Coturnix japonica: one gene and its partners. The protein of the gene in region 1 purifies or fractionates together with the protein of each later gene. This does not show direct contact. Links are inferred from orthologs where the notes say so. Each region holds a gene or a part of one and is shown in the gene's direction. Other genes may lie near its edges.

What was found.
Region 2: the proteins of WDR20 (region 1) and PHLPP1 purify together in Homo sapiens (affinity purification with mass spectrometry; 4 studies listed by BioGRID and IntAct, with this or other methods). This does not show direct contact. The link is inferred for Coturnix japonica from reciprocal best matches to the Homo sapiens genes WDR20 and PHLPP1.
Region 3: the proteins of WDR20 (region 1) and FBXW5 purify together in Homo sapiens (co-immunoprecipitation; 3 studies listed by BioGRID and IntAct, counting the BioPlex papers as one, with this or other methods). This does not show direct contact. The link is inferred for Coturnix japonica from reciprocal best matches to the Homo sapiens genes WDR20 and FBXW5.
Region 4: the proteins of WDR20 (region 1) and PHLPP2 purify together in Homo sapiens (affinity purification with mass spectrometry; 4 studies listed by BioGRID and IntAct, with this or other methods). This does not show direct contact. The link is inferred for Coturnix japonica from reciprocal best matches to the Homo sapiens genes WDR20 and PHLPP2.

What each region holds. Positions count from the first base shown.
Region 1 is NC_029520.1:45,046,233-45,054,481, forward strand, and holds the start of WDR20 (WD repeat-containing protein 20), read left to right. Parts: upstream 1-2,852; 5' UTR 2,853-2,930; coding exon 2,931-3,194; intron 3,195-8,249. UniProt on the Homo sapiens protein: Regulator of deubiquitinating complexes. Activates deubiquitinating activity of complexes containing USP12. Anchors at the base of the ubiquitin-contacting loop of USP12 and remotely modulates the catalytic center of the enzyme.
Region 2 is NC_029517.1:62,823,545-62,831,897, forward strand, and holds the start of PHLPP1 (PH domain leucine-rich repeat-containing protein phosphatase 1), read left to right. Parts: upstream 1-4,121; coding exon 4,122-5,214; intron 5,215-8,353. UniProt on the Homo sapiens protein: Protein phosphatase involved in regulation of Akt and PKC signaling.
Region 3 is NC_029532.1:184,208-191,222, forward strand, and holds the end of FBXW5 (F-box/WD repeat-containing protein 5), read left to right. Parts: intron 1-23; coding exon 24-510; intron 511-992; coding exon 993-1,140; intron 1,141-1,453; coding exon 1,454-1,666; intron 1,667-2,283; coding exon 2,284-2,530; 3' UTR 2,531-4,212; downstream 4,213-7,015. UniProt on the Homo sapiens protein: Substrate recognition component of both SCF (SKP1-CUL1-F-box protein) and DCX (DDB1-CUL4-X-box) E3 ubiquitin-protein ligase complexes.
Region 4 is NC_029526.1:17,702,694-17,710,249, forward strand, and holds part of PHLPP2 (PH domain leucine-rich repeat-containing protein phosphatase 2), read left to right. Parts: intron 1-1,385; coding exon 1,386-1,588; intron 1,589-2,071; coding exon 2,072-2,132; intron 2,133-2,857; coding exon 2,858-2,953; intron 2,954-4,663; coding exon 4,664-4,819; intron 4,820-5,576; coding exon 5,577-5,777; intron 5,778-5,915; coding exon 5,916-6,078; intron 6,079-6,446; coding exon 6,447-6,577; intron 6,578-6,958; coding exon 6,959-7,069; intron 7,070-7,509; coding exon 7,510-7,556. UniProt on the Homo sapiens protein: Protein phosphatase involved in regulation of Akt and PKC signaling.

The sequences.
Region 1 (8,249 bases):
TGAAATCCTTTTAGCATCAGTAGCCCAAGCCACACATGACAGACATACTACAGTTGATAAATACTACAGAGATGGGCTCCTGATTTCTGCCTCATAATCTGCTGGCAGTGCATACCAGAAGAGATGCTTTTAGCATGATGGAATAGGGTGTAGTCACTTCCCCCCCCCAGTAGTGCTGATAAAAGCATCACTGAAACCACCACTGATCTCAGCTGTTGCACTTGCAGGGGAGTAACAGACAACATTCCAATTCAAGCATAGAAAAGTTTTGTTAATAACTGTGTTTGGATTAACTCAGTTTTAAGGCTTTTTTCTCAAGGCCAGCAAAAGCACTACTTATACTGCAGCCCCAAAAGCTGTAGGACCAATTTATGCATCAATTTCAGAAGGCCATATTCTTTTATTAATGTTAGTGAATTTTGCTCACATCTGCTTTCCAACTTACCAAAACATTCGCAAGAATGACAGGCACAATATAGCAGTGATTCCAACTGCCTTTTGTTCACTGATTGTGCATACAAAACAACACGTCTATGGGTGTCCTAATGGGATCATTACAGAACTACAATCTTCGGTTCTCTTGAAACAGAAGAGTTTACAAGTGCCACAGAGAACTTTTTCATAAGGCTTATCACTGTAATCTTTTTTCCCATTCTTTAAACAACTGTTTGGTAAGGATTGTTGATGGGGCTGTACAATAGCGTTCTTGTGACTTGCAGCTGTGTTTTTTGAATGAATATTTGTCTTGGATTCTCTGTGGAATCTCTCAGCAGCTTTTATTGATGTTTCTTGGTAAATGTTAAACACTACATCAATTCTTTGGCTTTCTGCACCATCACATACCGCTGATAACCAGCTACATGTTCACTTTATTTATTCTTTGGATCACACTCATTCCACTAGTGACAGATGGCCTACTATGGTTTTAGTAAGTTTGCATTCCACACAACCCCTCCATTAAAGTTTCCTACTTAGTTTCTCAAAGCGTTCTACCCGCTATTTTCAGTGCGTCATAAATAAGACATACTGAGCATGTCAACTTGGGACAACTTTTCTGGGGGGTTAAATCTTTGTCTGTTTTGAGTATTACCATCATTTAGAGATCTTCGCATTTACTGCTCTTCTTTTTATGACTGAAAACATTCTGACCTTCTCTCTGGGAGTCCATTCATGAATTTCCACATAAAAGAAGCAGTCTCTAGATGAAGACTTTTAAAATAATTGCAGGTCTACTCACCTACTTCATGTACTTCTAGGAGGACATCAATACAGTCTGGCAGCTGGCTGATAAAAGTGTCAAGATCTATCGGTCATTATTGATTGGCTTTGTCTTAAGAATTTCAAGCAAGGTTTCAATACCTGGCCTCATTACAGTTCGATTATATGTACTTGTTCAGATAACCACTAAGTTATAATCTCCATTGTGCATGAGTTAACCTGGAGATCTTCAGCTGCTTCCTGTCAGCTACTTTGTACTAATATCTTGATGATCAACAACAAGGCAACATTTAGCTTCAAGTTAAAAATCCCTTTGAATTAAACTGATCTGAAAATAAGCATTAGACCTCAGGAGTCTGAGTGGGCTTCTGTGATTGAACCAATGGAAAGAAGGCAAGGTCTCACTTCCCTCCTGCTCTGCATTTCCTGTCCCCTCTGCCTTACACATTTCTCATTTAAGTCATTTCACCTTTGAATCACAGAATCAAATTAGTTGGAAGAGACTTGCAAAGGTCATCTAGTCCAACTCCACTGCAACAAACAGGGACATCTACAGCTCAATAAGGTGCTCAAAACCTTTTCCAGCCTGACCTTGAGTGTCTCCAAGAACAGGGCATCCACCACAACTTGGGCCAACCTGTTCATAAAAACCTGTCCTTATATTTGAAGGGAGTACCTGCTTGTCTTTCAGAAATGGCTCATTACAAGGTCAGAAAAACACAGCTGGTAAAGGATGTAGCAGTAGGTACTGACAGTAGAAAAGAGGGAGGAGGACAACAGCTATTGGAGCAGCTACATCAGAGCAGATCAGCTAGATGTGAAATAACCTTGAAAGCACATTGTTACAAGGCAGTCTGACTGTGCTGCTCTTCCCACAGCTGCACACTTCTAACTTCTCCCTTATTTTGGCTCTAGCAGCTGCGATGATGGGATCAGCTCGGTTGCCAACCAACAACTTGCTTCTCATTTCTGCATGCAGGGCGCTTCTCAGGCTGATCTGACTCACCCTTTGGTTGCATGATTACTGGAACTGATTCAAGGGAGGCAATGGAAATAGGTACCCAAAGACAGAGAGGTCAGATGCATTTCTACACTAGAGATCAGTCTCTGATTAGTTTAAGCCAACCACAAGGCTGATGCAGTTACCAGAAGGCACAGCCTTGCCTCCCTGGGGAAAATAACCCTTTCAGCCCGTTCCACTTCATCCCTCACACAGAGGAGGACATTGACCTGCTTCACAACAACGTGGTTTACGTGACAACCCGTTTTTCCAGTTAACAAACGCTCAGCGGGGCCAACTCCCCAGCCTGGCACCTTAGGCACAGCCTGCCTTTATAGAACCATAGAATCGGGACAGCGGTGGGTCGACTGGAAACATCCACCTACGGCTGCGCGTTGATATTTATTCCCTTTTCACCGCTCCAACACAGGCAGCTCCTACACAAACCCCCTGTACTCCCCCTTCTCGCCGCCGCCATCTTGAGCGCCCCTTCACGGAGCGCCCCCTCCCCCTTCCCGCCAGCCCCGCCCCTCCCCGCCCAGTCCCGCCCAGGCACAGGCCGCCCGGCGCATGCGCGGAGGCGCAGTAAACAGCGGCGGCCGCTCCTCCCCCTTACGCCGTTTGCGTGGCCGGCTCCGCGCAGCGCCGAGCGAGCGCCGGCGGCGGCGGCGTTTGCGCAGTGGAGCTACATCCGGGCACTGGGGCAGGATGAATGCTCCTTTCCAAGATGGCGGCGGAGGGAGGAGGGAAGGAGATGAACGAGATTAAGACCCAGTTCACCACCCGGGAGGGGCTGTACAAGCTGCTGAGCCACTCGGAGTACAGCCGGCCGAACCGGGTGCCCTTCAACTCGCAGGGCTCCAACCCGGTCCGCGTTTCCTTCGTCAACGTCAACGACCAGAGCGGCAACGGGGACCGGCTCTGCTTCAATGTGGGCCGGGAGCTCTACTTCTACATCTACAAGGGGGTCCGCAAGGTACCGGGGCTCGCCCGCCGCGCTGTGGGGCTCAGGGGCCTCCGCGCCGCCCACCCGCCCGCTGTGGGGCCGCCCGCCGAGGGGCCGCGGGGCCGCGTCGTGGGCGGGGGGCGGCGGGACCGCGGGGTGACGGCGGCACGGCCCGGCACGGCGCTGCACGCTCAGCCGCTGGGGCAGGGGGAGCGTAGGGCCGGGCAGGAGGCTGGAGCCCGCTGCTTACCGGGGGGTATGGCACGTTCCGTGTCGCACCCGTAGGTGCGTGGGGAGGTGGGGAGGGGTGGGATCGCTTGGGCCTTGCTCGCTGTGCAGGAATGGGGGCAGGGTTTCCGACAGCGAAGGGGACTGCGAGCCTCCTTCACTTGCTGCTTCAGGTCGGAGGTTGCTGGGAGCTAATGCCCGCCGTGATTACGGCGGTGTCAAATCCCCGCGGTTAGGGCAGAGAAAGGCTGCCGAGCTTCGGGCGGAGGGCTGCAGGATTTGCTGTCATATTAGGCCTGTCTCATACCTTTGAAGTGCAGGCTGATTTCAGGGTTGTTCTTAAATGGGAGCAGTCTAGAGAGCTGAGTTTTAAATGTCAGGTAATTAACGCAGAGAAAGTTGTTTTTACGGAAGACGCTCATTGGTGCGACTTGAGATAGACTCTTTAATGGTTAACGTTTGATGAGGGACTTATAGTTTATGCGTTTGATGTTTCAGGTCATCGTGTTTATGAATAAATCCTTTCTACTAGTTGTTTCTTAGGGTCGTTGTCTTTATGGCATTTAGAAGAGCATTTGGAACTTGTCATACAGTATGAACGTGTGTCACTCAATATATGAAAACACAGATGTAATGATTGTTAGGCTTCTGATTTATGTTTCAAGAAATGGGTGTTTGTTATCTCGTATACTTGAAACTTAGCTCCCTTAAGGTGAGTCCTTTCAAGCCTCCCTGCCTTTAGTCCAACATACAACATGGACTAAGTAGGTGGAGGGCTGGTGATGCACCCTGGACTGTGCAGGAAGCCTGTAGGTGAGGCTACATAACAGAGTCTGCAGGCTGCTAAGCAAACACCCAAATCACTGCTCCTCTGCAAAATAGAAGCATCTACAGGAGAATTAAATCTACCTCATTATCTGCTTACTGTGACTTGACAGATCTGATATGTTCTGTATAATGGTCTGGGACTTGGTTTTGCACTGTAGTGAGTTCTCTTAACCTAGTTGTCTTAAGTAACACTTAGTCAATATTTCTTGAAGCGTGTCATGAGATATCAAACGTTTTCTAAGCATTTGCTGTCTTTACTGTTTACAAGATATTGTGACAATATCTCTGAAAATCAAGTATTTAAACTATTGTCATGTTTGTGTTCTTATATCCTGAGCTTGTGTTTTTCCATACAAAGTAACCGCGGAGTTCTCTTGCGTGTTACAGAACAGGCCTTTACGTAGTGTGGCAATGGTAGGTGTGATTCTTGCATATTGTCTTAATCATCTCTTGCCACGCTTAAAATAAAGAGAATTGAAATCTGAAGCTTGGGACTGCACTGGAAATAGGGGACTGAGTAACTTTTCAAATTGTAGAATTGATTTTGAGATTAATGTTTCAATATATTTTTTTTTCTGGCTGCTAAAAGCTGCTTTTGTGCTACACAGTAATGGAGAAAATGTTAGTTTGTCAGATTGTGAACGTAAGAGCTTTGTGATATACCTGTTATAGCATTGCATGTTATTTTCCTCATAGTAATATAAAATTATATATATATATATATATATAATATATAAAATGTATGCATTGTTCAGAATTCATTTCACTCAGCTCTTAAAATGCCGACAAATGAAAATATACTTAAATCTTTTTCTGTAATATGCTAAATTCTGTAAAATTAATCTTGAGAAATAGCTGGAATAAGCTAAGGAAAGTGTTTAAAATCAGACTAGAAAAGGTGGGCTGTCTTTAACTTGTAATGGTTGTTTCTTTGGAATTTATTTTGAAACTATTCATTTGAAAGATGCTTTTGTCTATGTGCAGAGTTGAGAGAAGAAGGGGCTGACACTTTCAACTGATGATTGGAGTTTTCTAATGTAAAAGGTTACCTATTTTCTGGCTATAGTTGCAGGAAGGAGCAACTGCTACCTACATTGATAGTATGTAAGTCCATCTTAAACTGGACGAACTATGCATGTCTTCCTTTGCTTGGCAGTGGAGCCAGGGGAGGGACTTGCTCCTCTGAAGACCAAAACATTTGTGACCCTCTGCATAATACAAATGTTAACAACTTCTCTTTTAAGTTATTTCACCGTTACTGAGGTGTCTCTTTAAAATGTTCCGTAATAACTTTCAGAGTATAATTTTCATGTTGGTGAAGCTGTTAAGATAGTAGAGTACAAGTTGAAGTTAGTGCTGTGTCAGGTAGCTAAGACTGTGTCTTTTATTTTACTTTTCCAGAGCAAGAACAGGAGCAAACTTTAAGTGTTATATTTTTAATAAAATGAGTGAACGAATCACCAGGACTTTGAAGGAGGAGTGTCTGTCTGATGCTGAGATAATTCTTGTATCACTCACCTATTGCAGATCAGTACATGGCAAGCAGGAATCAAACTGGAGCCATGAACGACACTTAATGCTAATATTAAGTGAAGTACCACTTTTGTAAGGACATTTCTTGAAATCAGCGATGTTAAGTTTCCTTCTTTTAGCTTCCATTAAATCCTAAACATGTTGCATCTGCTACATTTGTGAATCATCTTTTAAAGTACGCTGGTAACATATGTGTTCTGTTTAGGAAATACAAACTATAGAATGTAAAATCTTTTCAAGATATTTGTTTAAGCTTGTTTTATTTTCTAAGAAACCTGCTTGAAGTACAATGTCCAGGATGGTCGTGTTGGGATTGGAGTACTGATAAATAATGGTAATAGGAATAATGGTAAGGGAGTTTTGGGGAGCATTTCAAGATGTCTTCAGAGATTTTCTTACCAGAAAGAATTGCCATGACCATGAAACATATCACCATATGTATCCCATGGCAATGAAAGCATACCAGCTGTGAACCACTGTTTTGGGTTTCTTCTTGTCTGTTATTTTGTTTGTGTTTTAGGGTAACGAAAACTTGATCAGTTCTCCTTCTGTTGATACAGTAGTGTAGGCTTCCAGAAAACTATTGATTTTTGGTTTGTATCCACTGAAAAAGGAAGTGAATGTATAGTTTAGAAAGGAAAAATTGAACTGCGATTGAATGGGAGGTAACCACTTTGCTTTACTTATCTAAGTATATAATTATTCTCAACTATGCTGAGTGTCAGTAACCCTTGTCTTTCAGTCCTCCTTAACTTTGGTGTTAAGGCGAGATGTGATTTCCTGTTAGACTGAAGGGTTGAATTTTTGTGAACTCAACTGATGTAGTAACAGCTGGAAATGATGGTAGAGCAGTGAAGTATCTTTCTGATGTGCTCCCTGAATCCTTGCTAGCTTTGCTTATGCTCAGTCTCAGTTAGAGCTAGTTTAGCTTGTCAAAGATTAGCTTGCTAAACTGGTAGTTCAATACATGTGCTTTCTCTGGGTAGATTTTATTTTGGATTGGTGAGTTGAACCATTTCACCTTGGGTTTAGTTATGAGCAAGCACAGTGAGAGCAAAGAAGGGGATAAAGTGAAAGGAACAAAGCTGCCTCCTGGCCTGTTGGGTTGGATCTGTTGCCTGATGGTCTCACCTGAGCAATGCCTTTACTGCTTTTTTAAGTCAGATTGAGAATTATTTGTTCTTTAGAGATTGTTGACTTAATCTTAACTGAGTGTTGAAGATGTTAGAGGAGGCTTTTTCTGTTGAAGTATAAGGTGATCATTCAGAAATGATTTATCAAACCATGATGCATTGGTGCTTTGGGTTGCCTTTTTCTGCAGCACACATCAGGAATGAGGGCTGCTGCCTATGTCTTGCTTATGGGACAGTCTTGAGGTACTTCAGTCTGGTTTGTGTTTGGTTTTGCAAAATGATTTATTAGTGGATTCATTAAACTTGAGAAGGAGCATGCTATTTCATCTTATTTCTTGTCATAGGAGTGACTGACAAGTCAAGGCTTTCTAGATTGCTGTTGACATTTAACTACCCAATCTGTTTCCCTTTTTACTAGGAAATTAGTGCATTTTCCCTTTCCCCCCACCACTATAATTAGTGTATTCACTCTGTTTATTATAAAGGCTTCTGGGCAAGTCAGCATGCAGCTGAGGCTTCAATACAATCATATGAAGGTGCATATTAGCAACAGCATGGCACTGTATACAGTCTTGGGTTTTACCACACGTGTTGGGTTGTTGCTGAATTTGAATGTCATTCAGCTTATTATATTAATATTTCTTTGCTAACATGTGGCAGACTACCCCAACAGTGGGATATTATTCATTTTGAACTTCTTTCTTGCCAAAAGAGACCGTCTTCAGTTGCATTTTTTTTCCTGCAGCTACCTAAAGCAGCAGTCTGTCAATGGCTGCGTGATGTTAGAGTGTGTTATAATGGTATCGTAGTAAAGATAGGTAGGTGGGGAGCTCAGGCTGGAGAAGGCACGGAGGGTGGAATCTGTGTGCTTTCTTTTCAACCTTACATTGAACAATGGGCTTAGAAATAATTATGTTTGTACTAAGATGAAGGTAAGCTCAAATCTCAATTTCTTTCACAGCGTTCTGGTAATCCCTGGTTATCAGCAAAACTACTAATGACACATAGGATTCTTTCCTTTGCATTACTCTAAATTGCCTTCTTAAATATCTTTCTTTATTGGAATCTCTGTTGTCCAGCTGAAAAGTATTATCCTTGGTGATTACTTTTGTTCTATAGAGTGTTCATCTAGGATCTTGTCTTAATGATGGAATGGTAAAGGGTGGCATTCGTCACCATGCTTAGTATATTGCTCTCTCTGGGAAGAGCAATGCTCGGTATCTCTAGTCTGGAAGCTGGAATCTGCAGAAACAGCACGTTTTCTCAAAATGTGGTGGGAAGGTGAGTTAATATTACTTTATATTGAGATATCACTAGGCTGTATCGGGCCTCCAAAAAGACTCACATTCCAACAGCATATCTG
Region 2 (8,353 bases), on another chromosome or scaffold:
ATCATGTCCATAAGTACCACATCCAAATGGCTCTTAAACACAACCAGGGATGGCGATTCAACCACCTCCCTGGGGAGCCTATTCCAGTACCTAACTACCCTTTCTGTAAAGAAGTTCTTCCTAATATCCAACCTAAACTTGCCCTGGTGCAACTTGAGGCCATTTCCCCTCGTCCTGTCACTTGTCACTAGTGAGAAGAGACCTGCCCCACTCTCACTGTAAGCACCTTTCAGGTACTGGAAGAATGCTGATAATGCTGTGTGCCAAGTGACCACTGCAACAGGAGTGCCGTGCCCAGCTCCAGCCCGAGATAAGCAGGGACAAGACGTTCCTTCAGCCAGAAAGGTGCTTCACAGCCTCATGTCCTGCTTGAAGGATGCGGGGACCTGAGCTCTGCCCATTTCCTTCTAGAAAGCTTAACGTGCAGCCAGGAAGGTACTGGGCTCTTTACTCCTCTTCCCATAGCATGGAAATAATGATATTTTTGCATAGTGCTTTGAGGTGTAGAGCTGAATAACATTTAGTGCTGTTGATATAACTTGAGTGGAAGTGGTTTTGGAATTAGAAACACAAGATCAAGCCTTGCTGAAAATGATTTAGGGGGCTGTAAGTACAAACAAGCCTGCAGGCAATGCAACTCTGCCATTCCTGAATATATAAACACAAGTGCAACCTGTTAGATAATTTAAAGGCTGACTCTATTTCAGGCATCAATTAATGGAAACTTCTCTGTTCAAGAACAGTCCTTAATCGTATGCTGAATCTAAAAGCACATTTATAATTAAGAGTTTTGTTGAATAAGCACCATCATAAATGCCTTGCTCGGCTGAAGACCTTACAATCCCGGATGAGCAGAAGCAGCCCGGAGCACACGCGTTGTTGTGTTTAAGCTCACAGCTGGAGCAGCAATCAGTGTAAATTTTCTGTTCCTTGTTATGTGCATACCCAATTTGCTCCTACAATCGCGACAGCCCACTGATTGATGAGGCATACAGGTGCATACCTAGCATTTTAAAGACTGCAAATCATTCACTGCTGATAAAATTAAGTATTATTGTCAGAAGAGCTTCCGTATGAAGACATTCAATTTCCCTTTACAAAGAAGGATATTATTAAATGGTCCGATTGGAAACGGGCCCTTTGCTCATCTTTCTCCTGCTCTTTGAATTATTTCCACAGTGGCAAATGTTTTGTCTTTTGCTCGAGTATTTTGACATTGAGATCAGTCCCTTGCTTCCATGTCTGTAGGGAAAATCCCCCAGACTAGAAAAACAGGCTACTAAAAAGAGCCGAACAAGCCCCCTAGTATTTTACAGCGTTAAAGGACATGAAATTCCTTCTTTCTAAACTCCCTCCCTAACTTCACGCGTTAACTGGAATCACTGGGGTGATTTATTTCTTCTTAAATCACGGATGAACGTTCAGCAGTGCCACTGATGATGACTTATAGCAGAAGAAGAATGAATAGAATTTTTCCCACATTAGCATTTCTCGGTGCGCATCCGAGCTTTTCATCCAGAACTGTCTCGTCAGCCAAGTTTTCTACAGTCGAGGAGTGAGGATTCAGTAATTCCCATTTAACGAAGGCATGCTTTATAGATAGGCTTTCTTTAAATACAAAACAAAAAAAACAAATTGGGCAATTGTTGCATATTTGATACGATTTAGAAATTCTCTTTGAGTATAGCTTATGGCAAAACTGGTTCTACAAAGGCTCTGGCTCTGGTAACTGGGTATATTACACAAAAGTCACTGTGGAGTTTCAAGGCCTTCTGGTGTTTTCCTGCCAGTGTCTACAGGCACGTACAGTTTGTTCGTTTGCTATAAAGACTTTTGGTACGGTATCAGAGTAATCTGTGATAAATTACTTTTTATTCCCTTATTTTTCTGTAGAAAGCTCCTACAGTCATAAAACTCTTCACGAAGGTTGCCAGACTCCAGCTGGAAAACTGCAGATTGCAAACCATCCTGTTTCATTTAACCATTCTTCAAAATAGCCACCATCGATCAAACTTTAGAAAAGGAAGATGTGCCTTTCAGCCTCCCACTTCCTCCTGACAAAAAGCAATTTCAGAAGCTCCATTCCCACATCTCACAGCAGTAGTTAATTCGCTGCAAAATTCACGATTCCAAGAGAGTTAAAAAGCATTGATCAGTGACTAGGAAATGGAGAATGGCACCGTTTTCTCATACGCCTAAGAGTTCAATTTGAATGTGCAGGTAATGACAAGATTTCAAATGCACTTCCTTGCATAAAGCAAAAACAACCTGGCTCTGTACCACCAGCGTTTGGAGATGCTGGGTTGTTACAGAAATCACTGCCTGACTATTCAGTGCAGCTTCCTGCTCCCCAGCAAATTGCACAGAGCAGAGACAAACCCAGCAGTTTTCCACCTTCTGGACCTCAGTGCTGCTACTTGGTTTGTTAACTGCCTAAAGCCCTTCATGAGCAAGGCCCCGAGCAGCAGGAGAAGCGAGGTCAGCTCAGCCCCTCGCCGGCTCGCAGCATCGTGCAGGGCTGGGCAGGAGCTCCTCCATCTCACCCCACCACGTGCCTGACCCGAGGCTACTGAAATGACCTTCACTCTGCGTTATCATAGCATCACGGAATCGTTTGAGTTGGAAGGGACCTTTAAAGGTCACCTAGTCCAACTCTGCTGCAATGAACAGGGACACGCACAGCTAAATCAGGTTGTTTAGAGTCCCCCTCCAGCCTGACCTTGAGTGTCCCTGGGAACGGGGTGCCCGCCACCAGTGTTCTTGCACTGTGTACGTTATCTTGCCTTGGGAGGCAAAAGGACTTTGTTTAGTCTAGGAAAGACTGCTCAGGGATACAGCAGCTGCCTGTAAGTACATTGGGGGCAGACACTCAGAATTAAAAACTAAAAAAGCTATTGGAGTCAAAGGGCAACGTGAACATGTGGGTACAAACCAGCCATGTGTAAATTCAGAACAAAAAGTGGAAGAAAGCTCCTGACCACTCGGGTGGTGCTGCGGGCAGACCCACTTGGTTCAAGACCAGGTTGGACGGGGCCCTGGGCAACCTGATCTAGTAAATGTGTATATTTGGTGGCCCTGCCAGGCAGGGGGTTTGGAACTACATGATCCTTGAGGTCCCTTCCAACCCGGGTCATTCTGTGATTCTGTTCACTTTGAGAGGACATTCAGCTAGGTAAAAAGACCTGGGATCCCAGGGATGGGGGCACACCTGATGTCCCCGGAAACCTCCCTTCCAGTTCTGCGTTCCTGAGATGTACCTGAAGATCTCCATGTTTTAGGTCTGTGGGGAGCAGAGCAAATCGGGCTGCAACGCACTCAGCGCTGCACCAGAACCCCTGCTTTACTACAGAACACAGCGTTTCCAATGAGCCTCTGGCATGAAGTTTGGCTGCCATTTTACAAAGGGTATTAGTAAGGAATAAGCTCAGGCAGATACAGCCACTTCCAACCCACCTCACTCAGCTAAAACACCCCCAGGAGCACGAGCAGATTATCTGAATAAACACTGCAGCGTTATGTCCTTGCGGTATGAGAGCTGGTACCTATGTGCTAATTGCATTGATCTCATTGTAACTTACCATTTCAGCCATTCACTTAAAGCAACTTTATATGCAGGCAGGATGGGATGGGGGTAGTGTAGTCATGGCAGCGCTCTCCTGAGGAGAGAGCAGAAGGCGGGAAGGCGAGGAGCGCTGGCCGCCGGGCCTTGTAGTCTCCGTGCTGTGTGGGGAATGGCTGCGGACTACGCTCCCCAGCAGCACCGCGCTCCGCCATGTTGCCGTCACTCGGTGTTTACGGGCGAGGCCCCGCCCCGCCGCGCGAGCGGTGCCGTCACATCGCGCCGCCTCCCCCGAGCGGCGGGGCCACTTCATATTCATGAGGCGCGGGCGGGCGCGGCGCCGGGCTCGCTGGGTGCCCGCCTCCCTCATGGCGCTGGCGACGGCCGGGGAGCGGGGCTGAGGCGGGTGCGCGGCGCGGGGGCAGCGGCGGAACGCTGCGCCCTGAGCCCCCCCCCTCGTTCCCGGGGCGCGGCGCCTCGCCCCGCTCGGGCTCCCCCCTCCCAGCGCCGGCCGAGCGGCGCTCCCGGCAGGAGGGCGGCGGCAGCCCCGGCCCCGCGGGCGATGGAGCCCGCGCAGCAGCAACAGCAGCAGCGAGCGAGAGAAGCGGCGGAGCGCTCCCCGGGCGGGAAGGGCCCGGCGACGGAGAGCGGCGCGGAGGCGGCCGGCGGCCCGCGGAGGAGGCGGGGGGCGGCCGGCGGCTCGGCTCCCCCCGCGGCGCTGGCGGCCCCCGTTGTGTCGGGCGGCGGCTCGCTGCTGCTGCGGCGGGGCCGGCTGAAGAGGAACCTCTCGGCGGCCGGAGCGCCGCTGGGCACCCGCAGCCTGGACAGGAAGGCGCTGCTGCCCAAGCCGTCCCGCCAGCTGCAGCCGCTGCAGCCCCCGGAGCGGGACTGGGTGCGGCGGGACCTGCAGCGGGGCTGCGTGCACGTCTACGAGCGCCACGCCAACCGCTACCTGCGCCCGGTGCTCTGCACCCTGGAGACCACGGCGGCCGAGGTGGCCGCCCGCCTGCAGCAGCCCGGCCCGCGGGGCGGCGGCGTGGTGCGGGTGCCGGGCAAGGCGGGCCCGCAGCCCCCGCCGCCGGAGGAAGGCCCCGCCGCGGGCACGGCCGAGCCGGCGGCCGAAGGGGAGCGGCCCGGGAGCCGGCGGGGGGGCGCCGAGGAGGGCGTCTCGCCGAACCCCGCCGCGCCGCCGGCGGAGCTGTACCTGGCCGGACCGCCGCTGTCGTGCCCCTCCCTGCTGGGAGAGCTGGGGCCGGCGGGCTCCGACTGCGAGAGCTTCAGCCCTAGCGCCGAGAGCGTCTCCGACCGCCTGGACCCCTACAGCAGCGGTGGCGGCGGGGGCTCGTCCTCCTCGGACGAGCTGGAGGCGGAGCCGGCGGCCTCCGACGGCGCGGAGGCAGGTGCGGGGCCGGGCCGGGGCCGCCCGCCGCCCGGAGAGTTGTCCCCGGAGGCGGGGGGCGGCCGGGAGGTGCCCGCGGGGCCGCCCGCGCTGTTCGTGCAGCTGCACGGGGAGACCAGCCGGCGGCTGGAGGGCCACGAGAAGCCGCTGCAGATCCAGAACGACTACCTCTCGCAGCTGGGCTTCCGGGACCTGTGGCGGGTGCAGGAGGAGGGCATGGACGCCGAGACCGGCTGCCTCATCCGCTTCTACGCCGGTGAGTCGGGACGCTTCGCTCTGACGCCGTCTCGTAGCGGAGCCGGGGGCGGGGGGAGAAGGGAGCCGCCGTCCCCGCCGCGGCCACCGTGAGGGCGATGCGTTCCTGCGGGCACAGCCCGCTGCTCGCCTCCTGTGCTGGGAACGGGCTGCCGCAGCCTTCGTCACGGGAGGGGAGAGCCCCCCTCTCCGTACAGCCTCGGTGACGGGGCTTCGGGGGGTGTCGGTGTCGGTGGGAAAGTTAGCTCCCACGTCGCCGTTATGCAACGGTGCTCTTTGACGGGGGCTTAAAAATATCTCTCGTGCGAAGATACCGAGCGGCGTTCAGCCGAGGAGCTGACAGGTCGGGGTTAGATAGGAAAAGAGCAGAAATAACTGCTGCGTCCTGGTGATGAAGGAAGGCTGGCGGTGCTGGCGAGGGTGGGGTTCAGCAGGTGGTGCTGGAGGGAGCGCTGCTCTCATGCTCCCGGCGGCCGTTTTAAGTTGCCCTGTTCTAACAGGCTGAATTCTATAGGAAATAGAAGCAAGAGACGTCGGTCAGCCTTAGGAGCTCAGCGACGCCTGTTTGCATGGAGCTTTTGCGCGTTGAGTGATGAATTCGACCTGCTGAATGCGGCTGCTTGATTTCGGTGTCGCAGCCTAATGGCTAACGTAGCTTGTGCGCCCTGGGCTTCCTTGTACGAGTCAAATCTGTAAGCGTACATAGGATTAAATGAATGCAAATGCGTTATGTAATTCCATAGAGCATGGCAGCGTGCCTCTGCGCTTCAAAAGTGCAGCGTTTCTTTGAAAACTTTATCTCTTTGGGGGGATCTGCGATCAACACCTGAAACACCTGTGATCCCGTGCTTGTAGCGCAGCATTTCCAGCCAAAAGAGTGAAGGAAGCATTGCTGGGATGTCGTCTGCTGACTTCCTGCAACTATCCTGGCAGCTCCTCTCGACATCCTTATGGTCTTTCATTTTTCTGCTGGGTGATGAAAGGAAGGAGACTTAAAAAGAAATATGCATCAAATGAGGGAGTCTATTTTGGCTGCAGGGTGAGGGTGTTGGAAGCACCTTTTTGATTGAATGATCCTCCAGGAATACCCGAGGGAATGCTTTAGCAGTGCTTGCCTGCTTGCCCTGGGCTCATTGGCTTAGGCAGGCTGCCTTGTCCCAATGGATAGCAACCAGCAGCTCTGTCCCCCTGCATTGTAATTTCCTGCAAGCAATCTCAGTAGGGTTTGATCCTAGTCTTGTACCGATGTAAAACGGCATAAACTGAGGCTGGTTTCTTTGCACTTTTGCATCTATAAAGAATTCTTTTCCCTAATCCCCTCGGAGTGTGAAGAGAACGCAGCGATAACTGCTATGCTTCTCTGTTTCTGGGGAGAGAGAGTTCTAAGGCTGGAAGATCTCAGTGCTGAAACAATGCTAAAAATTCCAAACAAAGTAAGGTGATCCAGCCAGTGATTTCAGCCATTACTGTGTGCTGCTCATTTCTCTAGCTGTGAAAATAGGCTTTTTGGAAAAAAGCCTCGGAAAGGGTAGTCAGGCATTGGAATGCACTGCCCAGGGAGGTGGTGGAGTCACCCACCATGGGAGTGTTCAAGAAACGTTTGGATGTTGTGTTGAGGAATATGATTTAGCTGGGAAGTATTGGTAATGGTTGGACTGGATGATCTTCTAGGTCTTTACCAACCTTGATAATTCTGTGATTCTGTGATTGAACTAGGAGAGAGCAGAGGGTCAGGGGTTTCACAGCGATGATAGAGCTCTCCTAATACGTAGCTCTTCACAGACATTCCGCAATGAAATGTCTGTTATTTTAACATGGTATTCTGAATTGAGGAGGCTCAGAAAACAAAATGTGACGCTGAGAATGTAGAAGTGCCTCCCGTGGTGCTGTCTTGACTCACTTCTAAATGCGGTTAGCTCATATTTGTTCTGCGTCTCCTCTACTTCTCGTATTCTGAGCGTACTCGGTTTCTTCAGCCTCTCGACCGAGCATTGCTGTGCAATAATGCTGTTACTAAAACAGAGCCTGTTACAGATGTAAGCATCCGATTCTGCCCCCTGTAACATTGATTTGAGCAGAACTGGGCATTAGTGGCAAGCCATGCACGTCAGCTTCTCCCTGTGTTGAAATCCATCTCAACAAAAGATACCGTCCTCGAAGTCTGGAGTACTTAATCTCTCTTTAAAAGGATATAGTTAAATAGCTTTCTGCTGAGATACTCCTTTACTGGTTGTGGAACTCTATAAGAACCCATAGTGCAATTACAGTCCTGATATTGTAGCTGGGAGACTGATTAGGTCAGACTTACTAAACCATTCCTAAAACCATAGCGGTGGCTGTGATCCAGAAGGCTTCTCGAAAACAAGTTATAGTATTCCTTATTGCCCTGTAAAAATACTTCTTGTAAGATGCGATTTCTCCCAGTGGCCTTGCGTTCTCTGTCATTTGTGTGCCAAAGGAAAATGGGCTAACACACCAATGGAGCCATTTGGAAGATTGCTGAAGTGCAGTTATTAGACCTTAGATCAGGAGTAAGCAGAGTCCTGTTCACAGAATCACAGAATTATCAAGGTTGGAAAAGACCTAGAAGATCTATCCAGTCCAACCATTACCAATACTTCCCAGCTAAATCATATCCCTCAACACAACATCCAAATGTTTCTTGAACACTCCCATGGTTGGTGACTCCACCACCTCCCTGGGCAGTGCATTCCAATGCCTGACTACCCTTTCCGAGAAGTAATACTTCCTAATGTCCAGCCTGAAACTGCCCTGGTGCAGCTTAAAACCATTCCCTCTGTTCAGCCCTGTGGAGCATCTACATGGAAAGGGACATGAGAGATTTGGTCTTGGATTATAGGACCATCTTGGGGCTTTGAGGCTTTGTTGCTTTCGTACTGCAAGGTGATGGGGTGTCTGATTCTCACACTCTACTGTCATTAAATTGTCTGCTCTCTGATGTGACATAGGGCTGCTGCACCTGATGGTGTCATCACATGTATTACTTTCCAGTAGGTGACTGCCTGTGGGCAGAAAACGAAGAAATGCCAGATGTGATTAAGGGTGTTAATTTGGCAACCGGCTGTCAGGTGTTGTTTATGAAAAGAGGCTTGTTGCTCGTGTGACCTTTTAGAAGGCTG
Region 3 (7,015 bases), on another chromosome or scaffold:
TCACTTTTCTTTTCTGCTCCCAGGGCATAGAGTCTGAGAATGTGAATGTAGTGAAGAGACTGTTCAAAATCCAGAATCTGAATGCCAGCACTATCCGGACCGTGATGGTGGCTGACTGCAGCCGGTACGATTCCCCAGACCTGCTCCTGGACTATGAGGAGCAGCTGGCTGCCTCTTCCACCTCCACCTGCCCAGTCTTTGATCTCGGCAGTGACAGCGAAGAAGAGGAGTCCAAGCCCAAGCAGACTCCAGAGCCAGCAGTACAGGAATTGCCGGATGACGGGGGTGTGCCAGCAGAGGATGAGCTGCAGCAGTTCTTTGATGATATCATGGGGGGCTGTGTGAGGCCTGCCATGACTGAGGCTGAGCTGGAGAACAAAGTGGCTGAGCTGTTCATACGCAACAGAACTAAACCGCCTGAGGTGAACCTGCTTTCCACGGACAGCAACAGCAAGACAAAGTACTTAATTTTCACCACAGGGTGCCTCACCTACTCTCCGCACCAGATAGGTAAGGCTGTGGTTGAGCTCCAGGGCACGTCAGCCTTCTTAGGGGTGTGGGCTGCAGCTACGCTCTGGATGTTAATCTGGAGAAGACCTGTGTTGTTTGCTGATGTTTGTGGTGAGTTGCAGTTTTGCTCAAGCTGGGTTCTCTGTACAGGGCCAGAGGCTTTTGAGACTCCTCCACTAGCTGGAGGTGGTTTGCCTGCTGGCACTTGCCTCATGGTTTTGTTGCTACCAGGGCAGGATCTTCACAATTGGACACATAGAGGATGCTGAGTACAAGGCACTGCTAGCGAGAGCCTGGAAGCAGCTGGCAGGGACAGGAGCCCTGTGCCAGCCCTTATCTCAGCCCCTGACTGGAAACAAACCAGTCCTCCTTTCTTAGCAGTGCTGAGGGAAGTCCCTCCTTGAAGCCAATGGGCTTTAATCAGCCCTGCTGGTTTGTGGCAGAAGCCCATGGATGGCACGATCCTCCTTTCTGTTCCCAAGGGATTAAAAGGATCCTGCCCCACCAGATGACAACTGCTGGGCCAGTGCTTGGGGAGGAGAGACGTTCGGATGAGTTCTTTGACTCGCTGGATCACGTCATTGACATCCATGGGCACATAATTGGCATGGGTCTCTCCCCTGACCACCGGTGAGTATGACTGGAGGGGGGAGGAAGCTGCCTGCTGACCTCGGGCAGCAGAGAGTTTGGGTTACAGCTGTGTGGGGGCTTTGGAGTGAATGGGAGGAGAAATGACTTTCTGCCTCAAGGGCAAACCTCTCTGCATCAGGCTGGGGTGAGGCGCTCTGCATTAGGGCATGTGGCTGCCACTTTCTGCCTGTGTTTCAGAGCTGCAGATCTGCTAAGGACCAGCTGTGTGGTCCCTGCCCTGCCTGCCTGTGTGAGAGGGTTTTATACTGTGGCTCCATGAGTGCAGGGTAACCCCTCTGCTTTCCTCCCCAAGATACCTGTATGTGAACAGCCGTGCCTGGCCTCGGGACTGTGTCATCTCCGACCCCATGCAGCCACCCCCCATTGCTGAGGAGATCGATCTGCACGTGTTTGATTTGAAGACAATGAAGGAAGTGAAACGAGCCCTCCGTGCACATCGGGCCTACACACCCAACGAGGAGTGTTTCTTCATCTTCCTGGACGTCAGCAGGGACTTTGTGGCAAGGTGTGTGGCACTGGGCTGGGCAGGATGCTGCCCAGGTACGGGATGGCTTTGGGTGTTGAGCTGTGGGCTGTCGTGCTGCAGGTAGGGCTGGTCCGAGAGCGGGAGGCTGCTGTGAGCAGAGCAGGAAATAGGAGGTTTGTGTGGAGCAGGGATGGAGTCAGAGGGTGCTGCTGCAGGATGTCTATTCTGGTCCTGTTGTGAAATCAGCAAGGAAAAAGGAAATGTGTGGCTGTGGCTTGTTTGTCAGTGGGTGGCAGTTGCCCTTCTTGAGGGCTGCAGGCTGCAGGTGTTACAGGGCAAGTTGGGGTGGCTGGAGCAGGCTCACTGCAGCCCAGAACAGGGCTGGTTTGCTGCAGGTGCCACAGCGTGAGTCTGGCTGCATTTCCAGAGCTTTAATTGATGCTGCTGTGAGGCCTCATTTCAGACTCCAGTTCTGGAAACCTACTTGTGTTTGTAGCAGGGCCTGGGTCACAAAGGGGGTTTGCCCCCTTAGGGTGGGTGTCTGTGGGTGATGGCACTGCAGATGGAGGCTGGGGCTCCTGGCTGGGTCAGGGCGCTGGGTGCAGAAGGCAGAGCCTGCCTGGCCGGTGTCCTCACTGCTGTCTTGTCTGCTGCAGCGGGGCAGAAGATCGCCATGGCTACATCTGGGACCGACACTATAACATCTGCCTGGCCAAGCTGCAGCACGACAACGTTGTCAACTCGGTGGCCTTCAGCCCAGTGGAGCAGGAGCTGCTGCTGACAGCCAGCGATGACACCACCATCAAGGTGTGGCGCTCCCCTCGCACCGTGCGAATCCAGCAGGCCAGGAAGCCCAGGCCCAGGAAACTGCTCTTCTCCTGGCTCATGAACCAGAAAAGCTGAACCCAGGTATAACTGCTCCTGCAGCTTCCTCACTGCGGCCACCTCTGGAGCTTGCGGTGCTTTGAGCCCTGCACAGCGGAGACGAGCTCTGAGCACACCAATCCTGTCAGCTGAGTTTGGAGGGACCTCGGCAGTGGTAATGGCTTCCTCCTTGGAGTGTCTGCTTCAAAGACAGAATGTAAGGGCTGAGGACCAGTTCCTGGGTCCGGTGGTCACTGCAGGGTAACCTCCCCACAGCTTATCACAAACGCTGCTACTTGGTCACAGCTCTCTGGGTGAGCTTTGGTCTCTGAGAACAGACTGAGGCGCGTCTCCAGGGTTTGTACTGTGTGGGCCTGGAACGTGGCTGACTTCACTGAGAGCTACTGGCTACAGAGCACCTGCACAAGCAGTGGTACAGTGCTGTGCTGCCTTACTGCGGGTCTCTTTTAATATAGTAGTTTTATTATTGTTTTGTTTGTCCCAAATCTCCATGGGCAACTTGTCTGGATGCTGGGTGCGCCCAGTGCCGCCCCACACAGTGTTTGGGCCACAAAGGGATGGCAGGAAGGATCAGAGGCTGAAAAGGCAGCGGGGGAGGCAGTGCTGGGGCAGAGCTGGAGGGGCAGGGCTGCCCTGCCATTGCCTTCTCTTACAACTAAATCCTGATACCATCAGTTTACAAATCTGAGAATGGGGAGAGCTGCTGGTAACGCCGATCTGGCTTTGCCCTTGTCTTCCCCTGTTCTGTAGCACCTGAATAAGCTATGGCATCGGTAACATATTTATTCCAGGGGCTCTGCTGTCCCTTCCAGGGGGTAAACTGTGATGATGGGTCTCATGGTCACCTCCCTCCCTACTTGAGTTGTGGCACTTTAGGTTTTCTTGGTATGTTCTCTGTGAGCAGGTGAACAGGCAGAGGTGCAGCCATAAGTGTGAATAAACCTCCTTCCACCAGGGCTGACTCACCTGGGGGCTGGTGATCAGCTCCCTCTGAGGGCTCCTCTGATGGGGGAAGCTGGCTCACTTTATGAACTCAGTGTTGTTTACTCTGTATTTGTCCCTGAAGCTTTTCTCTTTCCAGCCTTCAGCCAACTGTTAGAGTCTAAAATTAAGCTCCTAATCTCCACTTGGCCCAGACAGGGGGAGCTGAAGCTCCCAGGCCAGCAGTGACCCCAGGGGCTGCACCTGCTGCTACGCTCTGGGCCCCCCAGCTCAGGAGCAGCAGGGCAGGTGTCTGTGCCACTCACAGCCTCAGGTTGCAAACAGGCTTCATGGAGACAGCGGCTGCTGTCTTAATATGCACTGATGGCTTTAACAGCTCCTCCAGCCCTCAGCAAGAGGGTTTCACACCCTTCTCTTGCTCTCTCTTGCACCCAGCAGGTGCCCATGGCTTTATCCAGAACCCCTGTACTCAGGTTTTCGGTCATCACAGGACTTCTAGAAACAAGGGAGTCCTTTGTGTGTGTGTGTGTGTGTGTATATGGGTGTGCACTCAAGATCCTAGACCCAGCTCTTGGTCCCCTCACACAGCAACAGAACAGTCTCCACCTTCCTACATCTTCCCTCCTGCCCCAAGATAGCAAGTCCTGTTTGCCTCCCTTGGCGCGGTGCAGTAGTGAGCAAGGCACTGAGGGTTTATGTTTGTACCAAGTTTTGCTCTTCACCATGGCATTGAATAAATACTCTGCTAAAGCATCTTGGCAATGTAAGTTTGTTTTTCTTAGTACTATTTTTTCTACAGAAGCAAAACTGAAGCCAGAAGTTCAATATTGCTCTACGTGCTGCAGCCCTTGCAGAAGAAGCTGCAGGACGGGATCTGGGCAGTGCTGCCTTGGTGTCCTTCCTTGCCCTGCCTGCAGGAAAGCAGCTGAGCTGGGGGGCAGCTCACCCCACAGGGGCACAGCCCCAGCCCTGGGCATGGGGCAGAGTGTGAGGACTGCAGTGTGGCAGCAGGAGACCAAGCACAGCCCTGCTGCTGTCCTGGCCCGGCACTGCCTCTTCAGCCCCATGCAGTGATGGAGCCTGTGAGTTACACAGCACAGCAGCTCCTCACGCTGCTTTTATTAGAGTTTTTCACCACACACCATCCTCAAGGAAAAGCTCCCTCACAGTGACAGGCTGAGGTGGGTGTTCCCTCGTAGCTGTGGTCAGATGGGGGAAATCAAGGAACAAAGGGGGGAAAAAAAACCCACTTTGCTGTGCTGTGCGCCAAATGTCCATCTTACAGCACAGCTTCAGCGCTGCGTCCAGGGGAGCACCTCACCCACACTGCAGTGTGCAGCCACAAGGAACAAGGAGCACACACTGCCATTAACCCTCAGCCACGGGATGCTCAAAAGACAGAAGAGGACTCATCCCCCCCAGGACACCATTCCCAATTCTAAACTAGCGGAGCTGACACCCACTCAGGGCAGACATCAGCCAGGGTCCCTCCTTGGCAACTGCTTCCACAGAATGGGCTGCAGAACAGAACCCACCTTTTGCCAGGCTGCGTTCCCTCCTAAGGCACTGAGGTGAAGTGGAACTGCTGGGCCCAGCAGAGCCCTGGAGACAGGCTGGCACAGAGAGGGTCTGCGCAAAGCGGCAAGGCTGCAGGCAGGTGCAAGCAGCAAGGAGCATCCCAGCCCCACTCCACAGCCATCCCAGACTGGGAAGAATTCACAGCCCCCAGCCGAGCTGCAGCCTTCGCCTTTGCACAAAGTTGGACTGCAGCAAGGAACTGGGCACAGGACCCACACAGCACCCAGCGCCGCTCTGAGGGAGAGGGGACGCTGTGGGCACAGCTCCAGCCCCTCACCAGGCTTCAATACGTGCCTGCAGCAGATGCAGAGAAGCCTGGGGTCATCTTTCACTTCTAAGTCCCAGCTGCTCTCGCTGTGTTTCAGGCAGGGGCTGTGGAGCTCAGGGGCTCCTCCACGGAGCACGCAGCAGCACAGCAGCACAGCACCCACAGCAGCACAGCACCCACAGCAGCACAGCACCCACAGGGCTGGTGGCAGCAATTGCTGCCCCGAACCGAGGGAGATGCGCTCCCCTCACAGAGGCAGAAATTGCAGCCCTGAGCACTGAGGGGGGTGTGAGGGGGGGGGTCACCGCTCTCCAACCAGCAGCAGCAGCCTCTCTGCCTGTCCTCCAGGGCAAAGGAGCAGTGCTGGGGCTGGAGAGGACCCGGGCAGGGGTACGGGCTCAGCCCTCCCAGCTCACCAGTCCCACAGCTCTTGGGGCAGTGGGATGGGGGAGGAAAAGCACAAGGAGGAAAGGAAGCAAGATGTGAGGGGCCAGCGCGGCCAGTGGCCAGTCTGGTGTTACACGTGGCCACCACAAAACAACTCCAGAGGGACACACGGGCCGCGATGGAGGGATGTGACAGCAGGCTCTTCTCCACGAAATAGAGACCTTCTCTGGGGTACAGGTGCAGGGCACTTGCCCAAGAGGGCGCAGTGCAAGCAATCCAGAAACAGCAAGGGCGAAAGCAAGCTTCCCTCAGAGACTGCTCCAGCCCTGGTACCAAAGGCTCTCCAGGATGATGAGGGCTGGGCTTGAGGAGCTCAGGGACCAGGGAGGGCCCACCAAGTGATGCTGGAGAGCAGGGCACGGTGGGTCTGGGGCATGTTGGGGTGCCCACAGTGCTGCAACCATCCCTTGACCAGGGTTAAATCACAGGAGTACGGATTCACATCTCAGGCCTCCTTCCAGCCACTGTTCTCCCAGCACTGCTGGAGCCAGCTGCTCTGGCTACGCAGACCCCTACGTGAGACCAGGTTTCAGGTGACAGACATTTCTGTCTTCCCCCACAGGCAGCCCTGCTGTGGCCCCATACGTCCCAGGCTGCCAGTGCTGCAGCCCAACCTGCCCTGAGCAAACCTGACCAAAAATGCAGCCACAGGGACACAGGGCTCCCCTGTGCCACCTTGTGCAGACAGCAGAGGCAGCAGGCCTGCAGCACAGCAGGCAGCTCCTGCACACAGCACAGCACAGCACAGCACTGCACAGCACTGCACAGCACAGCACTGCACTGCACTGCACAGCACAGCACAGCACTGCACAGCACTGCACAGCACTGCACTGCACTGCACAGCACTGCACAGCACTGCACAGCACTGCACAGCACAGCACTGCACAGCACTGCACTGCACAGCACTGCACTGCACAGCACTGCACAGCACTGCACAGCACTGCACTGCACAGCACTGCACAGCACAGCACAGCACAGCACTGCACAGCACAGCACTGCACAGCACTGCACAGCACAGCACTGCACAGCACTGCACAGCACAGCACTGCACTGCACAGCACTGCACAGCACTGCACAGCACAGCACTGCACAGCACAGCACAGCACTGCACTGCACAGCACAGCACAGCACAGCACAGCACAGCACAGCACAGCACTGCAGCTTCCCAGCTCCAAAGCTCCACATGGCCCAGGCTGGCAGTGCTCCTCGGGACAGCCCTGCTCCCAGCACACAGAGCAGCCCGCAGTGCTGGGGCAGGACAAAGCCCT
Region 4 (7,556 bases), on another chromosome or scaffold:
TGGAAAGCTGCCTGATGGAAAGGGACCTTGGTGTACTGATGGCCAGTTGGCTGAATATGAGCCAGCAGTGTGCCCAGGTGGCCAAGAAGGCCAATGGTATCCTGGCTTGGACCAGGAATGGTGTGGTGAGCAGGACTAGGGAAGTAGTAATCCTGCCTCTGTACTCAGCATTGGTGAGGCCTCACCTTGAGTACTGTGTTCAGTTTTGGGCACCTCAGTACAAAAAGGACGTTGAGGTGCTGGAGAAAGTCCAAAGATGGACAACAAGGCTTGTGAAGGGCTTGGAGAATCTGCTCTATGAGGAGAGACTGAGGGAACTGGGACTATTTAGTCTGGGGAAAAGGAGGCGGTGGAGAGACCTTATTGCTCTCTTCCAGTATCTGAAAGGTGCTTACAGCAAAAGTGGGGTTGGTCTCTTCCCACTTCTGTCAGGTGACAGGATGAGGGGAAATGGCCTCAAGTTCCTCCAGGGTAAGTTTAGGTTGGACATCAGGAAACACTTCTTTACAGAAAGGGTTGTTAAGCACTGGAGGGGCTCCCCAGGGAGGTGGTTGAGTCACCGTATCTGGATGTGTTTAAAAACTGTTTGGATGTGGTGCTCAGGGACATGATTTAGTGGAGGGCTGTTAGTTAGGGTAGTATGGTTAAGTCATGGTTGGACTCAATGATCTCTAAGGTCTTTTCCAACCTGAGAGATTCTGTGATTCTATAAATCGTGTTGGGTTTTTCCCCACTTTTAGGGAGTTCTCTTTCTGAGGATGTGCAGGATTTGCTTAGAGAAACAAGGTCAGCTGAGCAGTGATTGAATGTACTGAATGATAGAATTGTTTGGGTTGGAAGAGACGTGAAGATAACCTAGTTCTAAATCCCCTGCCATAGAATGGGTACCACAGAATGTCACTTAGTACTCGAGGTTCCCCTTTTGATATTCTGTTATTGTGAGCTCAGGTAGCTCTTAGAGCTCTCTTAGCCTTTTGTTACTTTTTTTGTCTCTCTAGAGGTATTTTCTCCAGGTTGCCAATTGCAGAGTTCTTAGAAAGGGACAAAGAATTTTTTGTCTACTACAAAGCAGTGGAGTATCTAGTCTCTGCATTCACGTGCTCTGTCAGTGCTAGGTAACTGTCCACTGATCTCACTTGAAATTTATAGACTGTGGTCTTCAGAATTTCTTGAACACTGGGAAGTGAGTAGAACTGTTTCACGTAGCTGTGCAGACAGGGAACTGTTTTTCTTCACATTCACTGTCTGAAATCCATCGTTACTACTCATACATCTCACTGTACTCGCAAGAAAGCCTGCGCTGGAGCTCTTCCTTTCTTCTTACTCATGTACAGTGTTCAGTGTTCTGATTTCTGACTCTGTACCTTTTGTTTCTGAGTGTTTAGGCTGAACAACCTGAAGAGAGCAGCAGCTGACACGCTGGAGGGGAATAAATCTGTGACTTACATGGATTTGCGAGATAATCAGCTGACAGATCTGGATCTGAGCTCATTGGGCTGCCTGGAGCAGCTGCACTGTGAGCGGAATAAGCTGAAAGAGTTGACACTGAGTGGCTTCTCCCTTCGGGCTCTGTATGCCAGCAACAACTGTACGTGTCCTTATGTTCTTCATCTGCCTTCTTCCTTCAAACCCTGGGAACAAAGGAAACAATCTTTTTGCTATCTCCTCTCACAAAAATACTAATATTTACTGACATTATTGAGAGCATAGGTGATGGGCCTTCTGATGTCTACCCTTTGGGATCATATTATGGGTATGTGTGCACAGGCTGCACAACATAAAGAGTTGCCATCCAAGTTATTTGTCTTCTGGTGAGAATTGTCTGGGAGTCCACACATAGAAGCACTGTTCTCCTTTATTCTGGTGTCTCTTGTGGCAGACAGTGAACTGGACAGCAAGAAGCTGTGCTGATGTACGGTGTTTGAACTCTGTTGTAGGAAAGACAAGTAGAGACATTTTGTTGTGTCTGCAGAGTGAGGCTATCAGTGTCATTTACTAGCTAGTCTGTGTGCTGCTTTTCTGCTTTCCCTCTGGAGCTCTTCAATAATATTTATTTGCTTTACTTCATCAGGTCTCACATCTGTCAGTGTTTACCCGGTTCCTGGTCAACTGACATGTCTAGAACTTTCCCAGTAAGTGACTATACACCACAGATTATAAAGCAAGTATCTGAATAACTTTGGTGTTTTCTGCAGATGTTTTCTGGAGTTGTTACGCTTTTGAAAGAGTTGAGAGCAATTGAGAAAAGGCACTTCATCTCCACAGTAGAACTGGAAAGCCCAGTGCTGAAGGATGATGAAATTGTTGCAGAAGCCCCTCTGAACCATTTTCATCTGTCTAGGTGACCGGCTGTCCTTCAGCTGCAGGCTGTAATCAGCAAGACAGGCCAAATAAAGACCACTAAGAACCTGCAACAACTTACTAGGCTGAATGGTGGGAATCTGCGGGGCAAATATGTAAACTGTGTGCTGGTGATTCACTGTTGTCTTCATTTTCTTTATCTGCCCTAGTAGCAAGATTGTCATACCTGTAAAATAGGGAATCTGATCTTGCATCAGTTCAGATTTGAAGCACATTAGCTGGGTAGCATAAGGTGGCCTGTTCTGCTATATCAATGCTTGAAATAAAACGAAAGTGAGATCATCAGAGTCTTGCAACAGTAGTTCCTACCAAACATGTTGCATTATGCAGCTGGCCAAGAGATAAATGCCATGTGAGTAGCTCAGATACTGTGGTGCTTTTTTTTTTTTTTTTTTTTCCTATTTTTCATTTGTCTGTCAGCAGCCCCGTGCAGTGCTCAGATGGGGCATATTCTATATCAGGTGTTGGTATCTAGCTTTTTCCTTGCTCTTCTCAGCAATGAGCTACAGTGTGTCCCAGATTGGGCCTGTGAAGCAAAGAAACTGGAAATTCTGGACATGAGCTACAACGTCCTTGTGGAACTCCCATCAAGGTCAGCAGACTACTTTCTTGTACGAATCTGAACTTTCTCGAATGGGGAGCTGACTGGGAAGAGAGAAGCAGTGCTATTCCACTTACCTTATTCCTTGTTGTGCATATAGATACTTTACTTAATTTCTCTGTGCAGTTTCCAAAGTACTTTGCTTTCATGTGTTGAAAGAACTGACTTCCAAATCAACCTCTTGATTAACAGGGGCCAAATAGTTCCGTCCCTTGCCAGGAGTTTGCACCTGAAGTAAAACACACTGCTATGAATTAACTTTGTGTTACAGTAGTGTCTGTGAACGCAAGTTATAGATGAAGCCGTAACAAACCTTGCATCACTCCAGAGTTTTCACCAGTTAACTTCCAAAAGTAGATATCTCAGAGATATGATATAGTTTGTCTCAAAGGCAGCTTTCACAATCATCATCAGCCAACTCCTTTCTGCCTGCTTCCATTTCAGCTTCTGTAGCAATGTAGTAACTGGAAGCCAAGAGTTAATATGACTTTTTAATATTTTATTTATTTTATTGTTTTGTATTTTTAGTGACTTATTTGAGGTACAAGGGATATCATGGAAAGAACCAAAGCCCAGATGTTCTTGGCTGAACATGTGTTTAGCAGGGAGTGTGACTGTAATGAATGAGAGTGTCTGGGTCAGCTGTGTTGAAATGTGAATGCAATGGTAGGTCACAGTGAAGAAATGCAAATGGCTGAAGTAGTTAAAGCAGCAGTCATAGGAAATGTTCTCAGCAGTGACTCTGGTTATCAGAGACAAGATTATGTGCATCTAAAGCAAGAAAAGAATGTAGCAAGGTTGAGATAATGAGAACTTAGAAATTTACCCATGCTGATGGATGACAGAATGGTTTGCATTGGATGGAACCTTAAAGATCATCTAGTGCTACCACACTCCCCTGACATGGTAGGACACACTGCCCACTAGATCTGTTTGCCCAAAGCTCCATCCAACCTCACTTTGAACACTTCCAGGAATACAGAATTCACAGTTTATCTGGACAGCCTGCTCCTGTCTCACCACTCTTGTAGTGAAGAATTTCTTCCTAGTATGTAACCTAAAACTATCCTCTTTTAGCTTAACGCTGTTACCACTTGTCCTATCACTCCAATCCCTGATGGAGAGTCCTTCCCCATCTTTTCTGTTGGCCCACTGTAGATACTGGAAGGCCTCCATACAGTCTCCCTGGAGCCTTCTCTTCTTCACACTGAACAACCCCAGATCTTTCAGCCTGTCTTCATAGGAAAAGTGCTCCAGCCCCTGATAATTTTCATGGCCCTCCCTCTGTGCTAATAGGTTCTCCTCCTTCTTAGGTTGTATGAAAAAGACCACATTTTAAGTGTGTTACATATAACAAACATGCAAAAGGCAGACTCAGAAACACATATTTTTAAAAATTCAAGTGTTTTTAGAGATTTTTAAGTGCTGGAATTTACTGTATCCCCACTGGGGATTTTTTCATTGTGTGTCTGCTATCAACCCTGTGGATATATCTTGTTTCAAGTTCCAACTTTGCTAATATGGACTTTGAGCTATCAGGGTTATCCAGCAGATTAAAGCATGAAAAAGCCTTGCACAACGACTTATAGTCATAAAATTGTTGGTTTTTTTTTTATCATCTGAAAATAAAATTGTCCCCATTCTACAGATGGGAAGAGGGAGGACTGAACCAAGCTGAACTAACGAACCCTCTCTTTCTAGGATCCTCAGCAGCTTGAGCCTTCGGAAACTGATAGTGGGGTACAATAATCTTCAGAGCCTTCCACCTCTTCAAGAGCACATTCCAATGGAAGTGCTGGACCTTCAGCACAACCTATTGACTAAACTCCCTGAGACGCTCTTTGTCAAGGCCCTGAAGTGAGTGACAGTATCATGGATGTTCTCTGTTAACCTTTGAAGCTGTGAAGGTGATATTTGCGTGACTGTCCTTGTGAGATGCTGTGAGCTTTATTGACATTTGCGTGAGAGATTATGATGAGGTAATTCAGGTGCTATGAGAAATCATCCAGCCAGTGTGAGAGAATTGGTCCATGTTAATATTTAATTACAGGAAAACAGATATGTGCCTAACCTAGCAGCCAACCATGGTATTAACTTCAGTTGCAACTGCTTCTAAGGTCATGTTACTACTTGGCACGCTTTGTCTTTAGAATGAATTTATTAATTTGGGAGCAAAGAAAGGCCATACAGATTATCAGATGTTACTGCAGAAATACAACAGGTATTTCTCAAAAGAAAAGCAAGAGAAATCTCTACTCTTTGTCTATTCAGACTTGAGTCAACCTTTCTTAAAAGACTCCAAGTAAAAGTTCATGTAGTTTCCTTCTACCAGTATTGTCTACTTTCTCCATCTATTCTACAGTACTCACTGTTTACTGTAAAATGCTGCATGCATCTGCAGTGACATGTAGCTAATGGTCATTTGTAGACTCATAAATCTTAATGTGATTAGGGATATTACACTGTGTTGTCTGACTTGCCTGCCTACTGCTCTTTGTCCATCTGCATAGGCAATTTTATAGCTGTATTAGCAACCTTTCCTGCTGTTAGTGGAGTGGTTTAGATGAAGTGATTTTTTTTCTTTTTTTTTTTTTTTTTCATTTCCTGTGGTCAGCCTCAGGTATCTGAATGCTTCTGCGAATAGCCTGGAGTCCTTGCCCTCTGCATGTACAGGGGAGGAGAGTCTGAGCATGCTGCAGCTGCTTTACTTGACCAATAACAACCTCACAGATCAATGCATCCCTGTCTTGGTGGGACATCCGAACCTACGGATCCTGCATCTGGCAAACAACAACCTTCAGGCTTTCCCTGCAAGGTAAATGCATAACTCGTGGTCTCATATCAGTGAATTAGAAATGTAGCTTGTAAGGGACAATGTCTGTGGATGCTGTATCTGCAGGTCCAGGAAGTGATAAATTCTGACATTTAGGATATGCTATTGTTTCCCTTTCAGCAAACTCAGTAAGCTGGAACACTTGGAAGAGCTGAATCTGAGTGGCAACAAACTGAAAACAATTCCCACAACTGTGGCAAACTGCAAGTTACTTCATACACTTATTGCTCACTCTAATGACATCAGCATCTTTCCAGAGATCCTGCATTTGCCTCGTATACAGGTATTCTTACCTTACATATAGTGAGGTATCAGGAGGAAGCTTGGGTTGGAGAATTGTAAGTAACTGCTACAAGAGGAACTGGAGATCTCAGTATTTTGCTCAGTCAGCTCGTAAAGAGGGCACAAAATACACATAGAAGATCTGTTGCCTTTCTTAACTGACTGAAGATGGCTCAACTCACATTCTTTGCCACTGTTCATGACCTTGGCTTATAGGTCATCGCCATTTTCGTGAGCTGTTTGTGGGATACGGTTGTTAGTGGGATTTATCTGATGTTAGCACAGAGCACTGGAATAACTGGTAACTGATCACATGAAAGAATAGAGAATATGTTCTTTGTCATCATGCTTTTTTTTTTTCTGCTGCAGATAGTGGACTTGAGTTGCAATGAATTAAATGAAATCCTAATCCCTGAGGCACTGCCAGCTGCTTTGCAAGAGCTGGACCTGACTGGAAACACAAAGCTGGTGCTAGAACACAAGACACTGGATATCTTCAGGTGAGAGTCAGGGAGTTGCAAAGCTAGTTGTGACAGGTATGGGGAAGGGGAAGTTTCCCAGGAGAGGAAATGGGCTAGCACCATATATAACACAACTTTGTGTAACTTTACAGTGTTTCCTGCCTGAGGCAGCAGCTGACGCTTTCTGTCCTGTAATAAGGGAAAGGGCTGGGTTCAAATCATCAGCGAGAAACTTCTCAAGTGGACATTCTCCCAGCTGTGTCTGACCATATGTATTCTGACATCATCAGAATGCCAGGACATTGAATTCCTGTATTTGCTACTGTGTAAAATTCTTGAGTGGATGTGGTCCTTTGGAACAAGCTGTTCAACATGGTGGCTGGGAGAGAAGAATTATTTTGTTTTCTTCTCTCTCCATAGTCACATTACCACGCTGAAGATTGATTCTAAGCCCTCCCTCCCAACAGACTCAGCACTCACTTCTACTTTTTGGAGTCATGGAGTAGCTGAGATGGCTGGGCAAAGAAACAAGTGAGTATCCTGGTTTATTGGACTCTGATGTTTTGGCTCCTCAAGTTGCTATGTGAAGTGCATTGCTAAACTTCCAAGCAGACATGTTTTGCTGAGTAGCTCATCCATTCCCATCTCTCTGAATCTCTTGCATAGTGTCAAGATTGCTTACCCTTGTCATGCTTATCTTGGGATCCTTGGGCAAGGCTTTCCCACTCTAGAAGAGTTGCTTTTGCTATTGCATGCATACTACATCCATTTTTCTCTTAGTCCAATCAAAGAGGGTTGAGGCATTCCAGTAATAAACAACAGCTGAACATGTTGTGGTGCAGTGGCTGTCAAGACAGTGGCTTTGTTGTCTCGTGAGAATGGTACTCATGGCAACATGCTGATGGCTGTGTTTTTGGAGACCATACAATCTTCTGAGGCAGATTAATTTTGCCTGTATGCTTTTCTAACAGGCTGTGTGTGTCGTCCCTGGCACTGGGGAGCTTTGCGGAAGGGATGG